Linked DNA regions of Styela clava. The protein of the gene in region 2 purifies or fractionates together with the protein of the main gene of each other region. This does not show direct contact. Links are inferred from orthologs where the notes say so. Each region holds a gene or a part of one and is shown on either strand. Other genes may lie near its edges. The genes, in order: zinc transporter ZIP11-like and polypeptide N-acetylgalactosaminyltransferase 16-like.

Evidence for each region.
Region 1: the proteins of polypeptide N-acetylgalactosaminyltransferase 16-like (region 2) and zinc transporter ZIP11-like purify together in Homo sapiens (co-immunoprecipitation; 3 studies listed by BioGRID and IntAct, counting the BioPlex papers as one, with this or other methods). This does not show direct contact. The link is inferred for Styela clava from reciprocal best matches to the Homo sapiens genes GALNT16 and SLC39A11.

Annotation. Positions count from the first base shown.
Region 1 is NC_135255.1:10,457,392-10,465,323, reverse strand, and holds the start of zinc transporter ZIP11-like, read right to left. Parts: upstream 3,211-7,932; 5' UTR 3,121-3,210; coding exon 3,013-3,120; intron 2,698-3,012; coding exon 2,659-2,697; intron 2,432-2,658; coding exon 2,264-2,431; intron 1-2,263. UniProt on the Homo sapiens protein: Zinc importer that regulates cytosolic zinc concentrations either via zinc influx from the extracellular compartment or efflux from intracellular organelles such as Golgi apparatus. May transport copper ions as well.
Region 2 is NC_135261.1:13,698,032-13,706,067, reverse strand, and holds the start of polypeptide N-acetylgalactosaminyltransferase 16-like, read right to left. Parts: upstream 3,181-8,036; 5' UTR 2,917-3,180; coding exon 2,800-2,916; intron 2,208-2,799; coding exon 2,053-2,207; intron 1,409-2,052; coding exon 1,301-1,408; intron 750-1,300; coding exon 682-749; intron 1-681. Other genes in the region: MORN repeat-containing protein 5-like, read left to right, coding at 4,611-5,138; syntaxin-binding protein 4-like, read left to right, coding at 6,100-6,335, 7,154-7,228, 7,418-7,476. UniProt on the Homo sapiens protein: Catalyzes the initial reaction in O-linked oligosaccharide biosynthesis, the transfer of an N-acetyl-D-galactosamine residue to a serine or threonine residue on the protein receptor.

The DNA.
Region 1 (7,932 bases), on a different chromosome or scaffold from region 2:
GGAATTGTACGATCATGTTGTCTTTCTTAAATAATAACTTTTTCAATAAATGTTCATATTACTTTTGCGTCTTTATTATAAGTCGGGTTTTCATTTATTTTAAATTCGAAATTGTCCAAATACTCCAACAGGTTTAATACACACAATGTGTTAAGGGCGTCGTAACTCCCGTTTATTAATTATAATTTTTTTTACATTCTGCTCAAAAAACAACGTCGTTTTGCAGTCAGCTAACGTAACTCTCGCGACCAAATCTTTTTTGTATGGCATCGTCTTGGCGACGAATTTATTGCCGACTGAATTTCAATTGTGTTTTAGGATAAGTTATTTTCTGTTTGTTGGTTTCTAAACTTTACAAACTTGGGTAGCAATTACTATTAATGTGAGATTGGTGCATATGAACGATTGAATATCGCGACTGGATGTCCGATATCTGAGAATGCGTACTTCTCTTTCAACATTAATTTTCAGGATATCAGCGTTCATGTGGTCGAATAAAAATTATTTATCAAATGGATTGGTATTTAGAGACACTCTCAAAATTATTTGGGATCCACTATCATATCATTCTTATTTTTTATATTCACGTTTTTTTCAAGAATCACCCTCGTTATATTTAGTGTACCTCCGCAAAAGAAAACTCTTTGGTGTCATCGTTCCTATTAGTGTAATTACTAATTGAAATATATGGAAATCTCGCAAGTGGCGTTGTGATGCGAATATTTGATACTAGGTCAGCAGCATTACAAAGAGTGTTATTTATGAATGCTGAAAGTACATGGCATTACTAAACATTTTGCCAATATATGATGTTTTCTGCCCGATTTAAACTAACTCGCACCCAAACCAAGGCATGTCGACATTTAAAAATTACTTGTCTTTGGGTAAGCTCTGAAATAGTATAATATAAATGTAAATGAGAAATTAGGTCACGCTAGCTCACGAAACGGGAGGATTTTCAAAGTGATCTTGTGTAATATTTCGGAGAAAAAAGTTTGAAAGGAAAGTAGGTCAACCTATCTCCTAAAACAGGGAAGTATCCTGCGTAATATTTCGGAGGGAACATAGGTTAACCTATCTTTCAAAACAGCGGGTGGCGACTTTCAAAGTGGTTCAAAATCACAAATTAATAATTATCAGATTGGGTTTAGGGATAAATCGAAAAGTTGAATTTCCAGCGCACCTAACCCTTGATATTGATTGATATTTATATTTGGGGGGGGATTATTGTGCACGGGATTTGTACAAAGGATCTACCCTGTAACTAATATGGTTTCCAGCCTGCCTCGTGTCTGTTAGATGGAAGGAGTAACAAATGTGAAGGCCTTTGCTGTTCACGCGAGTAAGCAACTGACACCGTGATACATTGCATGAAAGTTTTTTCCGCGGCAGGTGTTAGCAGATGTCCTTTCGTTGCCGATGAATTTGCTTGTTTTAATTAAACATGAATTCGCTTAAAGGGAACTCAGTTAACGGAAAGGCTTCTCTTTAATTCATAATATTAACCGGAGGAGTGCTTTTTCGAGTATCTATGCCGTTTTAAATGGGTTATATGAAAGGCTAAGGGCACCTAACTTGTTAAAATCGGCAAAAGCACTTTCGCACTTTTTTTTTCGACTGCGAAGCACTTTCGCACTCATAATTTGCTTAGAGTTAACACTGATTCCCGGCCTTGTGCACTAAAACAATACATTAAAAAATCAATGCGCGGTATGGTGAAAAACATTAAAACGAACAAAAGTATATGATGGTGCACTTGTTTCGTTGTAAACAAGCATAACTTCATAAACTGCCTCCTATACCAACAAACATACAAAAAGGCAGTGTCAGCTACACCTCTGCAGTTAGTTAACTTGTATAGGCAGCAATTGAACTCTCTTCGTGATATTACAGTCACACAGCTCTGTGACAACACAATGGGGCAGCACAATCGAAACAGTAAGTGATGAATCAGTGTCTCCAGCAGTGATTGCGAAGCAGCAAAGGGCGTCAAATGTGTATTTGCAAATTTAAGCACTGAATTTTTGTGTTATCAAGCTATATAACATGTTTCTGTCGCAGGCCCTCCGAAAGTGCTTCGCGGACCCCACTTTGGAAACCACTGCTTTAGCACATAATTATTCCTCACATTCAACATGATGCATCAATCGCAGAACCTTTTAAATTTTTTATTGATATCTTCACTCAGCATTCCCTAATTTTAAAGAAATTGTTCAGCTACACTTTCAGTAAGCTTAATAATCTAAAACATGTTAATACTTACCAAGAAAGGCATTAAAATATCCGCAGCATAGACAAATAGTGCACCAGCAGCAAATCCAACCGCCACAGGGATAAAAGCATATTCGCCTTCTTTTCCATAATTACCAGATAATACTGCCATTTCAATTGCAGGAGCAAGTAATGACCAGTATGATGCCGCAATCATTACCTGATAAAGAATAAAAGTCAAAATATCTGTGAGCATTACAAAAATCAGATAATAAAAAGATGAAAGCTATTTATGGGGGTGAAATTGAGTTGTAACACCCGAGTTTTGGGAGTTGCACCCAACCTCATTCAGTCATTGTGTAAGAGGTAGAATTAGACTAAAATTAATTTTGAATATATTGTAAAAATAAGTTTTCTTCTGCAAACAACAATAATTTAAAACCTTACCCCAGCAGCAAATCCAAGGCTTCCATCTAAAACTTTCCGCTAAAAATAGAATAGATTCAGTTAGTATAAAAATTAAAAAGATCTTTTCAGGCAATCAATTCTGAATTGCTTCCCATAGACATAGATGAAAACTTTTGTCATTATAATTTATGAAGATAATGGTACCAACTACTGAACTACAAGTATTATTATGGGCAGCAAACATCATATCGCATCAGGACTTGTGCCTTAGATTAGTTTTCCAGTTGAATTTCTGGACCTGAATGGAGTAAACAGAAAACAAATAGTACCGGTAGTCTACCGTACTCTACAGCTTATGATTCAGAATATTGAAAAAAAAATCTTTAAACTTACTTTTCCAGATTTGAATACAAATACAAGACTAGCACCAGCTGCAGTCAATCCCCATGTAAACAAAGTTCCGAGTAGAGCTTGCTGGACAGGTCCATAAGATGAAATCATTGTTTGACTATGCTAAATATAAGCTCACTGGTAAAAAGTGTCCAGATGTAAGTTAGCGCTGTGATGTCTGGATGTAGGATAGGATTTACATATTTATTACTATTAGACTATTAGATTTGTATCTCGTGATATCAACATGATCAAGGCCCATCCACCGGAATTAAAGAAGTTTATGGATAAAAGATTGGATTTAAAGTTTGTGTTTGGCAGTCGTCGGCTGCGGTCGCATTTTTGAACGGCGCAGAAAGATTAGATTGACAACAATGAACCAGCACTTAAGGAATATCAACAAGTAAAGGCCGAAATATGAAATTACATGGCAGCATAAAGGCAACATACGGACATCATAACAGAATCGAAAGATGAAATACTGAGTATTCAACTATATATGTGTAAATAGTTTGCAGTGTAACTTACAGTGTAACATTTTTAAACATTCATTTAGTGGCATATTTTTGATTTGTTCTCTCTGTGTGTATACCGGTACTGTTTTAACAATGTTGGCCACGTCAATGTATCAATTAGGCTACATACCTGCTCACGTGTGATTAGTGTTTTTCCTAATAATTGCTTTTACGAGTGTCCGCACACCGAATTTGCCGCCATGGTTTTGCGTTTGTTTGTATATTAAACCACTTATCACCTTTTCCGCAATGCCCAATCTAGCAATCAGTGTAGTTTTTCATGGCTTGGTTTTTCTTAAAGCTTTCCTGGCTTCATGAGTATGACTATCGTCGCAAATTTATTACATTCCACTCCCCACATTATCTTTGCATGAGGTTGTAGGTATTGGTCATTATCAACGTAATTGTTGAAAGAGAGTACAACAGCCCGAAAGTTTATTACTATCGTGTATTTTGTTTTTTAAGTTTGGCCCAAGCCTCATTTAATTGGGCTTGTGTTTTTGTGTGCGTGCTGGTGGGCAGGCACATGAGATACCTCATGTTTTAAACTTTCTTGTAGGTTTTGCTTGCCCTCCAGAATTCTCCATTTTAAATTTAGGTTTGTTATGGAGTTTTCGAAATAAACTATCTATCTATCTTATCCCTGCATTGCAGCATTGAGCCTAATTGCAAAAACTTTTGGGAAATAATATAGAACACTTGGCTTTATGACATAGGCTGAATACCGTATCCTAATACTGTAATACCAGTACCGTAATGCAGCGGTAACATGTCGTACCGGTACACAACAACACAAGCTTGTATACCGTACCGGTACCGGTACTTCTCTGACTGTACCGTATACCAGGCAGTTATAATGTGAAGTTCTGCCAACCAATCGCCGGAAAACGTGTTGTGTAACTCGACGAAACCGACACGTACCTACAGCAGCGGAAATGCAAACCACAACTAATACCGTACACGTTGCAATAGAAATACAATGAAAAAAAAAATAACTCATTTGACAGCTCGCCGACTTGAGAACTTCGGCTACCCACAGCGAATCCGAATTCCGAATACGTAGATTTTTGTTGAGACATGACGTCATAACAACTCATGCATGCTTGGCGATGAACGTTTCCCCGACCCTTGACCCTTCAAGAATTCTTCCTTTAAATATTTTCACAAAAATTTCGAAGTGTTTCAGAGAGTTAGAGCATGTAAACTGGTGGGTATAGTTTTTAAAAATACAAATTTTGTTTGACTTCCGCGCAAACGTACTGCAAATCAATTAATGTACGTACTTAATGTACTGCAAATTAATTAATGTGCAATAGTGATATAGACAAATTTGCTGATTGTTCAGAATCTCTAATAGTTTAAACCTCGTGTAAGCAATAAATTACTACAAGACGAAATATATTTTGGGCTATCGTGATTTAATTTGACCCAGCCTTGTCAAAATTTATTTAATATCACATATCTCCTTCAACTCAGTCATATTTGTCTATTTCTAAATTATTTGTGAAGGGTTGCAATGCCAATCTGATTATTTCCCATTGTAGTGTCCCGCCTCTATCTTCAATGTTATCTATCTTGCTAAGCTTTCCCCAAGGCAACACACGATATTTGCACACACAATAAGAGGCTTTTACTGCTACAATTCAGTATGCACAAAAGTAACTGATACAACTTAATAAACAGCGAATAACACCATACAATAGAACCAGCACCAGCCACGCCGTCAATGTCCTTCTGCTCCCCTTGGCATGTATCCTTGCGCATTTATATCGCAGGACTAAATCAATCATGCAATTCATGACCATCGGACCATGAACACTACATCCCTCCTTTTGTTACGAGTAGATGGTAGACTTATTTCATTACAAAGTCTTTAAATCTGGAAGGCAGTTTTCGTTCGCCTTGGACGCTCATAAGGCTGAGTAATTGGTTCCTCCAAACTTGGCCTGGTCGCGTCTGGAGCAATTCGCGACTCTTTGGCATTATTGTCAATTTTATTTTGGGTGTCTTCTTCGTATTTCTTTACAAATGTTGAATTGCGACGAAATTCTTTTCCCTTTTCATCTCTGACTGTGACTTCCCCTCCTTCCTTCTTGACAATTTCACACGGATATTTATTGAAGTTTGTCGACATCTTGTCAACTTTCTCTTGCTTAACGAGCACCGAATCTCCGACCTCAACATCTTGTAAAATTGATCTTCTGTTGTAATCTGAGTAAAATTTCCCTTGTAGCTTGTTTCTCCAGTCTCTGTCTCTGTGTTCTTCGCCGATTATGTTGTATTTTGGTCTGATTTCTGGAAGCTTTGTTCTCATCTTTCGACCAAACATCAAATAATATGGCGATACTCCTGTCGTTGTATGCGGTGTAGACCTGTATGCAAGCAGAAATTTGTTTAATTCCGATTTCCAATCTTTACCTTCTACTTGGGCTATTCGTATGGCTTTCATTAAACTTCGGTTTTGTCTCTCCACCTCGCCGTTCGCTTGTGGCCACAATGGAGTAGTAGATTTATGTTGAACTCCATGTTCGTCTAAAAATGATTTGAATTCATTAGATACAAGCTGTGGTGCATTGTCAGTTCTTAACGTAAGTGGAATTCCGTAACGTGAAAATATGGTGCTCAACGCTTCAATTATTTTCTTACTTGTTGTCGACCGCACAATTACAATTTCATAAAAACGACTGTAGTAATCTACAATTACCAGTATGTTATCACCAGAAGGCAAAGGTCCTAAAACATCGGCACAACAATCTATCCAAGGTCCACTGGGTGGTCGTGTTCGCGTCATTGGTTCGGGCGGACTATACGAACTTGTTACCTGACATCCATGACATACTTTACATTTTCGTTCAGCATCACGATCAATGTTTGGCCACCACACTTTACTTCGAAGTCGATTTTTCGTCTTCACAATTCCTTGGTGTCCTTCATGTGCAAGCTCTAGAACACGTTTTCTGAGTATCTGTGGAATTACAATTCTCGTACCACGTAAAATTAATTGACCATAAATACAAAGTTCATTCTTCACATGCAAAAATGAATTACCACACTTTGACCAATTCTGTGATTTAATGCAATCTCTCACAATTTGCAATTCAGGGTCTTTAGCAGATGCCTGCTCAATTTCATGTGGCGTCAAAGCAATCGGGCAACTACTTTGTACAACCATTCGTTTGAAGAAATCATATTCCGCTGTTGTATCACGCTGGTCAGGCGCATTAAGACGAGATAATACATCAGCAATATTATTCTTACCCGGTCGGTATATTACCTTGAAGTCATACGCTTGCAATCGCAATACCCATCGTTCAATCCTTGCTGAGGGCTTTGAAGTTTTAGAGTATATGCATTCCAAAGGTTTGTGATCGGTTTCAAGTTCAAATTTCCTGCCAAAAATATACAAGTTAAATCTCTCACATGCCCACACTAGAGCTAATGCTTCTTTTTCCGTCTGGCTATATCGTCTTTCTACGTCTGACATTGTCCTCGAAGCATACGAAATTACTCTCCAAATTCCGTCTTGCAATTGGGTTAAAGCGGATCCTAGTCCTGTCGGTGAAGCATCTGCAATTATTCTTGTCCTGCAGTCAGATCTGAAATAAGCTAATGTGTTTGCATTAGTTAATGAACGTTTCAATCTTTCGAATGAATTTTAACATTGCTTATCCCAATCAAATTTAGAATTTTTCTGAGTCAATGCACGTAAAGGCGCTGCAATCGAAGAAAGGTTTGGTATAAACTTTGCACAATATTGAACAAGACCCATAAAAGATTTCACTTCTCTGGTATCTTTTGGTCGTCGTGCATTTCTTACTGCCGCCACCTTTTCCTCACAAGGATCAATACCTTGACTTGTGAGCTTATGACCAAATAACTTGATCACAGGAAGTCGAAATTGACATTTCATACCATTCAGCGTTAGACCGGCTTTGTCCAACTTATCAAGAACATCAAATAATCTTTCATCATGTTCCTTCACATTCCGCCCATGGATAATGATATCGTCCGCTATGTTTGCGACACCCCGACAGTTCCTCACAACGTCTCTGATTATTTGCTGATACTTTTCTGGTGCAGATGATAAACCAAACATTAGTCTTTTGTATCTAAAAATTCCATTATTAGTTACGAACGTTGTGATATATCGGCATTTCTCATCAAGCAATATTTGATGAAACCCCCATTTCAGATCTAACTTCGAAAATACGGCACGTCCGCTCAAGTCGTGGAGTAAGTCTTCAACAGTCGGTATAGGTTGCCTTTCACGGAGTATGGCTTGGTTAGCTCGGCGCATGTCAACACAAATTCTAATATCTCCATCCTTTTTATGATCTACAGTTAAAGGCGAAATCCGGGTACTTGGACCTTCAGGCGCTTTTTCGATTATGTCTGCTTTCAGCATTTC
Region 2 (8,036 bases):
TAAAAATTCCTTCATACACTTAGATTCTATTACTGGATTTTAATTTCGAAGTATTCGAAATTTCATATTCGAAAATAATAATTTCGAATGTATTCGAAATAGTGAACTATTCGGTATTGGCCATCCCTGGGGGATCCCCCAAAAAAGCGCTCTTACTCCATAGTGACACCTTGTGTCCCATCACTAATTAATTAATAACTCGCTAATTATACGACATAATTCATCCAAAATCAATAGGCTTCTGGTCCGACATATGATGAATGCACATGCAAAATTTGGAGCAGATTCAATCTCGCTTTCGTGAGATATCGCGTGCATCTAACAGACAGACAGACAGACAAATACCTATCAACATACTTACCGATTAAAATCGATAAGTAACAAAGCCGGTTGAGAAATATTGGGAATTGACTTCATAATGAAATTATAAATTGTAATAGGAATTTATGACCACCCCGCACTAAACATATTATCATGTATGATATTTATATTTCGTAGAAGTAGACAAGACCATACATAGATTTAGAAAATACCCATCGAATATGGAAGACAAATAAAAAATTACATTCATGTGAAGTTATAATTATTAAAAGTTTAACAAGAAAAAAAACAAAATAAATTTTAACTTTTTCTTCTAAGAGTATACGCCCTCCGAAAAAATAATAAAAAGATAACACTCACGATCATCACTGAAATCATCAACCAATATAACTTCTTTTATTAGTTCTTCCGGACTTCTTGTTAGTACACTAAAAAACAATGTTATTGTCAATAAAGGAATAATTTCGTAATTGAATGAAAATATTTGCCAAATGGGCCCAAAAAAAGCAAATTGCAAACCTCATATCAACTGTAAAATAGGATTATTTATTTGCGTGTGATATTTACATTTGATAAATGGCACAAAAAGACTTATTTGTGAACAATTAAAAAGATCAAAAAGTAAAATTTATGATATTGTAATATCAAGTTATCAACAATAATTTATAGAATTTTCAGCTAAGTTAGCGTAATCTACCTCACAAAATTTTATGAGACTTTGATAGAAGTTTTGCTCGCTTTTTCAGAGTCTCCATTTTATTTATGCGATGCGTAACAGAGATTCAAAAAATAATTATTACCACTAAATTGATTCAATTTGTATGAAAATATTAATGTTAAATATGACTTCTCAAGAACCAAAATGACAAATTGACTGAATTTTTGGAAGGTTTTTATTTAACTTAACCTCATTAGGCTTTGGGTGGTTAAAGTTAATAAAAGAATGATAATTTCTTTCAAAAATGTAAATACACCATACCTAACCACAGTTCTCAGAAGAGTAGATCTCGCTTCATTGTGAAAAGTGATTATAACCGAAGTTTTCTTTTTCTGAAGTATTTTGAGGTTATATTGGTGGTTGAGACATCTAGAGTAAAATACAGACTTTGTGTCGAAGTGTTTTTATACAATGCAAGTACATTCAATTACAACAGAGTAAATGCATTGTCAAACTTGTTATAAGTTTTTGAATTTTTTTTTCATTCTTTCGACTCCATTTATTAATTGATTTAAAATTAGGAGAATTATAATACTATTGTACCTTATAACTAGTGGTTATTTCAATAAGTATTCAAACTCAAGTTTAAGTTCAGCGGAGGCTTAAATAGGTCACCTTATAGCAAAATGCTTCATCGTTCCAAAATCGAATAAAACATGAAAAAGTCAAGCCTAAATATATTGATAATTTAAAAACATGCAGAAAAACGAATGTGAAACAATAGCTGGTGATGCCAGGAAAAAACGAGATTTATGTGAAAAAATTCATTAAAACAAAAATGGTTGGGGGTCGGGGGATATTCAGAGACAATTTGTTTGCTGCCATAAAATAGAAAAAAATAAAAATGAAGAAATGAAAATTTCTAAACAATGGAATATACGCAAAGTTTAAACTTGGTACTTATCAAAAAATGTTATGTTAATTAACATCCGCAAACAATATTACCTCTTTTCCAATAATAAAGCCTAGGCAATGCAGTTAAAACTACCAATGTATAAAAAAGTAATGCTTACTGTCGATTCCGTGAATCAGGTAAATCTCTATCTGTGCGTATTTCATCACTTCGTTTTTGATTAAATGAATTTCTTATATAAGGATCTTCTGATTTAAATTTTTGCTGGGCAATGTATCTTTCAAAATTGAATTCTGTATTCAACTTTACTTTTTCCTGGAATAACAACAATATTGAACTAATTATGTCAGAAATTGGGAAGTAAGGACATCGGCATCAAAACTATATAAAATTATGAAATTTATTGTATCAATTTAATTACATTGCACATAATTCTTTGCTGACCCTACAGCCCTAATGCTGACATTTGCTTTCATTGGCAAAACCAATCTCAGAATCTTGTTACTACTATCTCACTATACTGCAGCAATTTTATTATTGTTTTTCAGTATTAAGGGGAATATCAGGCTACAGAAAGACAGTGTCATTTTTGCAAATCATAAAATTTTTCCCAATAGTCAGATAGTCTGGATAGTAGTGGTCATAAATATAGAATTTAATTAGCCGCTGATAAACATTGTAGCAAACATTAATGTAAATTATACAATACTGCAATAATCTAGTGCTGTAGTAGTCAGAGTTATTTTATTTATCACTTCAGCAGTCAAAAAGATCCAACATTAAAGTTTCTGAATAATATCTGAATATAGAAACGACAGGAGTCGTGACGGACGGATCGCACCGTCATCAGGTCTACAATACTTTTCACGTATTTTGAGTCATCTGCAATGATAAAATGTGTACAAACCTCACTCTTAGCAAAGAATTTTCCCCTTTTTGTCCAAGAAAAACAACTAATTATTGTCCAACAAAAGAGAGCAACGACTATGCCTATTTTAAAAGTTCGCAAAGAGAAGGGCTTCATGTTTGCAGTTCCCAAATCCGATATTGCATCATCAAGTCATTTCAGAATTTTCCAATATTGCAATTCCACGATGTTAAAAATCTATGTTTACTCTACGTTAAAGTACAATTCTTAAACCAGTCGTTCTATTTCTGTATTTGATGTCGTCGCTATAAATCATCACCAGACAACGCCGACGGCAAAGTTCATAACGTCGCCAATTAATTTTCGCGACACCTGCAACCACATGAAAAAATTGACTTGTGAATGCAGCAAGATCACCGCCGCGTGTGTCTGGCGACATATATTATAGCACAATTCACTGGAAACCGGTATGTTAGTCGTTCAATAAAATAGAATCAGAACACACTGTAGTATATTCCTCCAACATTTCACAGTATTTCGTTCTCTCTCTCTTTATGTATAAATATATATATATATATATATATATAGAGAGAGAAAGGGAGAATGTTTCAATATTTTCGCTATCTCTCCTGTACACGGTAGCTGCCGCTGCGGAGCCATGCAGAGTTCGCGTTGTCGCTAATGACAACAACTGTTTTCTGGTCAGGGTTAGGTGTATATAAGTTATTCATAATTTATGTCATGCAGCTCTGTTCTTTTTTTTTTTTATCTACTCTAGGTGTAATAAGATATTCAGCATCAGATAATAGAAAAATAATTTGGGGTGGATTTTTGTATAGATAGATAGTTTATTTTGAAAACTTTAAAATATGACAATACAAACAAATTAAAAATGACGAAGTTTGACCTTATTATTAGGAGATCCCTTTTCATAAATCAGATGACATAGCGTAACTTAGTTCAGTAGTTGCCAAATGCTACCGTACTGAGGTAGAGCCATTAAAATTATGTCAAATTCAACATCTTCTGATCTTACAGTCAAATAAACATTCACAAGTTCACTGACTATATACTTTTATGTTTCAAATATATAAGTTAACTATAAAAATATCAACTTGAAATATACTTCAAATCGTATATTTAGGAATTAAATTTTTTTTTTCATAATCAACACCTTCATAAATGTATGTGGAGTCTTTTAATTAGCTGACCAAGTCTGAAAATGGTAACAATTACAACGAACAATGCAATTCAACAAAAGTACAAAAAGTATAGTAACACTTGAGATTATTTTAAACAGACCTATATGACATATTTTTTTTCAAAATACTTTTTTACAGTTTCATGTTTGCATAAAGAATTATTTTATGTTGCCATTGATCATTCCACAACAAAAATTCTTTTTGTAATAATATCAATAAATTTTTATTAAACCTCTATTTAGAGGTCAGTTGTAGAGTCCAGTTTTATTGTTTACTCCAGAATAATGGAATTTTATTATATTTAAATAATATACATATATTCATTCACGGTAGACTATCGTATTTGAATGTAAACTTGTGGAACATCTCGACTGTACTGGCACTCTGGCAGAACCCTAAAGCGTCGCTGAACTATGTTTGAATACTGCTGTTCTAATGTCTGAATTTATCTGAACTATTGAGTTAAACAAGCTTCACAAAACTTTCTGCTATTCATCCAATCTGCCAATGTTCATTTCTGTTTTAGTTTTTTTAAACGTGTTGTTTGTGACTTATTATAATCATTTGTTCAGATTTTATTCACAGCTTAAATTCCCCTGTGTTTTTGTATTCATCAAGAAATCTTTGATTTTATTCTGACTTAATGAAATGGAATACACTGGTAGTCAATATGATGGGGACTGGCATAATGGAAGGCTAGAGGGACATGGAAAATATCAATTTCCCACCGAAACTCAATATGTTGGAGATCTGAAGGATGGTACTTTTCATGGCAAAGGAACTTTATTTTTTCCTAATAAGAGTAAATATGAAGGTGAATGGAAAAATGGTCGAGTCGTATCTGGAAAATACACTTTTGCTGATGGATTAGAATATAATAGCGAGGAAGATTGGGAATATTGTGATGGATATGATAGGAGATTTTATACGGAAATATGCCACGGATTGAAGCCCGCTGGTCGTTCACAACTTACGAACAGAATTCCCCCAAGAAGAATTCCAGAAAACCATTATGATTGTGGAGATGGTTTTTACAATCCTTCAACAAGAATTGTTACTGACTATAATCAAAAATTTCTACGAAATGCCGATGATGACGAGCATGAATGGATTGTAAAGGAATGTCGTAAAGGATGGGATGAAATTGTTGGGTATAAAGGGAAAACTGAAGCTTAAACATCAAAAAGTTACTGCACAATTCTTCAGCTATAAGTTGAAGTTATAGTCGTAATACCTGTTGCGTGTGTATTTGTTTTCCAAAGAAATTGGCATGCAAAAATGTTATCTTACTTATTAATACTGAGTAGTTTTTTAATTGTATTGTATTTATGAGGTAGCAGATTGTATGTATTAATTTTGATTTGCAATGGGAATGACTTGCTATTGCATATCTATTTCGAACTCATATCATTTTAGTTTCTTTATCAAAAGTTATCATAAAGCAGATTATACAAAAAATGATTTTAAATGGTAGTTCTACAGCAAAACTATTAAATTCTCTGTTTTCTTTTCATTGGTAAAAAGCATTCGATTAGTAAAAATTTTCCTGATTGGAAATATACAGCTTTAATGGCCTTGTATACTCCTATTTATCAAATTATCATCTATCTAAAATTTCTTTTTTAAATTTTCTTCAAATTGTGGTTTTCACTGTATCATAGTGCTACTGATATGATTTATCAAAAACTTCTGAAACACCATACCAAATTTTTTTTCCATTTCATATGCAAACCTCCATGAGAATTGTGTGAAAAAGGATTACTAGTTACTACATTTTAATTTCAGATACGAGAAAACAAATTAAAATGAATAATTCCGATTTATCTGAGAAGAGGTAATTTTTTTTACTCAATTTTTTTGTCATTCCTTGGTCATTTCACCTAGAGCGTAATAAATTTGGTAGACAATGCTGTACTATATAAATTCTGGTCCTTCTAAGCTATATTTACTATTTACTTACCTAGTAGTGGCTGCTTGTGCAGAGCCTTGTTTGAAGCAAACGACCAACCAAATTTCTATTTTTATATATCAGAGCCTTTTCATGAATAAGCATACGATTATATACTTTTATGAATTTTTTTATTTTGAACTGTTTTTATATTTTCAGGTAATATAAGTACTCAAATGTATTCTCGAAATGACTCAAAATAATGAACAAAATAGAGAATTCCATAAAATAATTATAAGTGATACAAAAATTGGACTTGGTATTAAAATAACTGGTGGACTTCAAAAGGATAATGGGGAAGATATTGGTATCTTTGTCAGAAAAGTTCTCCACGGTGGAGCAGTTTCACAACATGGTAATATCAGAGTTGGTGACGAAATAATCCAAATCAATGACAGTAATGTGACAGGATTGAGCAATTACAGGTAAACAAAGGTTTCTTCTCCAAGATCTCAAACAGGTTTCCTGCTTAGGGCCTACAAAATTAACATTAATGATGACATTTGACTTCTTCACTTGGCTTATTGGACACGGAGTGGACTGTGAGATTGAAGATCGGTATTTCTTCTGTATCGAACCTATGGATGTTTTGCTAAATTGTTGTTATTTTTTATTGTTTGGATGCTTGTTGGATTTATGAAAAATCACTTCTGTGTGCAACTACCAGTAATTAACCTGTCGATATCAAACTTCAATACCCAAAATATTGAAAATTTAGCTATTTTTTTTGTTTTTTCCAACCAATTTTTCTTTTCAAATTTTGCTGTTTTTTCGTGATTCCCATCTTTATATGACGTTTGTTTGATTATTTATTAAACATTTTGGTAAAATTTTGTTCAAATTGTGATAGTCATTTGACTTTTGCGTTCATTTAATTGAGCATTGCTCTCTTTATCATCCTTGACTCTGTTATGAAATTTTTGCATTTTGAGTAGACATGCTACAAGCTATTAATATTACAACACATAAAAAAATTCGGTGCTCCCGAAGTATGCGAACCAAGATGGCGGACATCGGAACGTAACATGGGTAACAGGTTAGAGTTAGGCGATAATTTTTTTCCAATTTTCCTTATTTTGGTCCTATTATCAGTTCGAAGACTAGCCAAGAGCCTCCCGTAGTATTTATACCTAAAATTATGTCCTAACCCTAACCTAGTACACATATTACATTCCGATGTCCGCCATCTTGGTTCGCATACTTCGGGAGCCCCAAAAATTCTTAAATTGTAATTGCATTCCAGAGTTGTTGATCTGTTGAGACAAGCGGCTGCAACCAGTAGGGTTGAAATTGTGTATGCCTCGGATAAACTTGCAAGGTAATTGTCTTTTTAAAATCACAAAAAAATGAATTATTGATATTTTCTTGTTTGACAAAATTTTGAGTGGCATTTTTTGTCGAAATTTTTTTCTGTAGAATGATTATTATTCTATGAATTAACTAATAAACAAATGAAACATTTTGTTTGTAATTTTCGTCTTTATTTTCAACTTAATTTTCATTTCAGATCTAGATTTTCAGAACTTATCTCATTAAAAAGGAGAAAATACATAGAGGGCAAGTTAGGTAGGTTTAGCAAATATATATTATCAAATAGAAAGTCTTTCAACTTGACAATTTGCTCTCCACGTCCAACAGCTCTGTGGCCCCCTTGTTATGTTCTTGATTTCTTGTTGGTATTTTTTTATGTTGTTTTATGTTATAATGGCTTTACCCTTTAAATACTTGACCAATGGCTTTAAAATATTCATGAATTAAAGATTGTTGTTCTCGCTAGAAGTCCATCACTTTTATTTATTTTCAAAAATTTCTGTGGACTTTATTTGGTTTGTGCTTTTGTCTGCAATGAAATCATCAAAATTAAAAATGGCACCCAGTGGCAGTTCTACATTCGTTTCTATCAGGTAGTCAGGCAAATTCGGGAAGACTTTGGTACCGGTAGTCTACTTAGAAGGATTAGATCAGTGCTCGTTTTCGTTTTTTTATGGAACCCAAAATAACAAAAATAAAAATGAAACAGGATATACTAGTAACACGAAATATTTGTAATTCAAATATTTCTACTTCAACAACGAAACAGAAAGAAGGTAACAAGCAAGAAATTCAAGGACTAGGTTGTTCTTGCA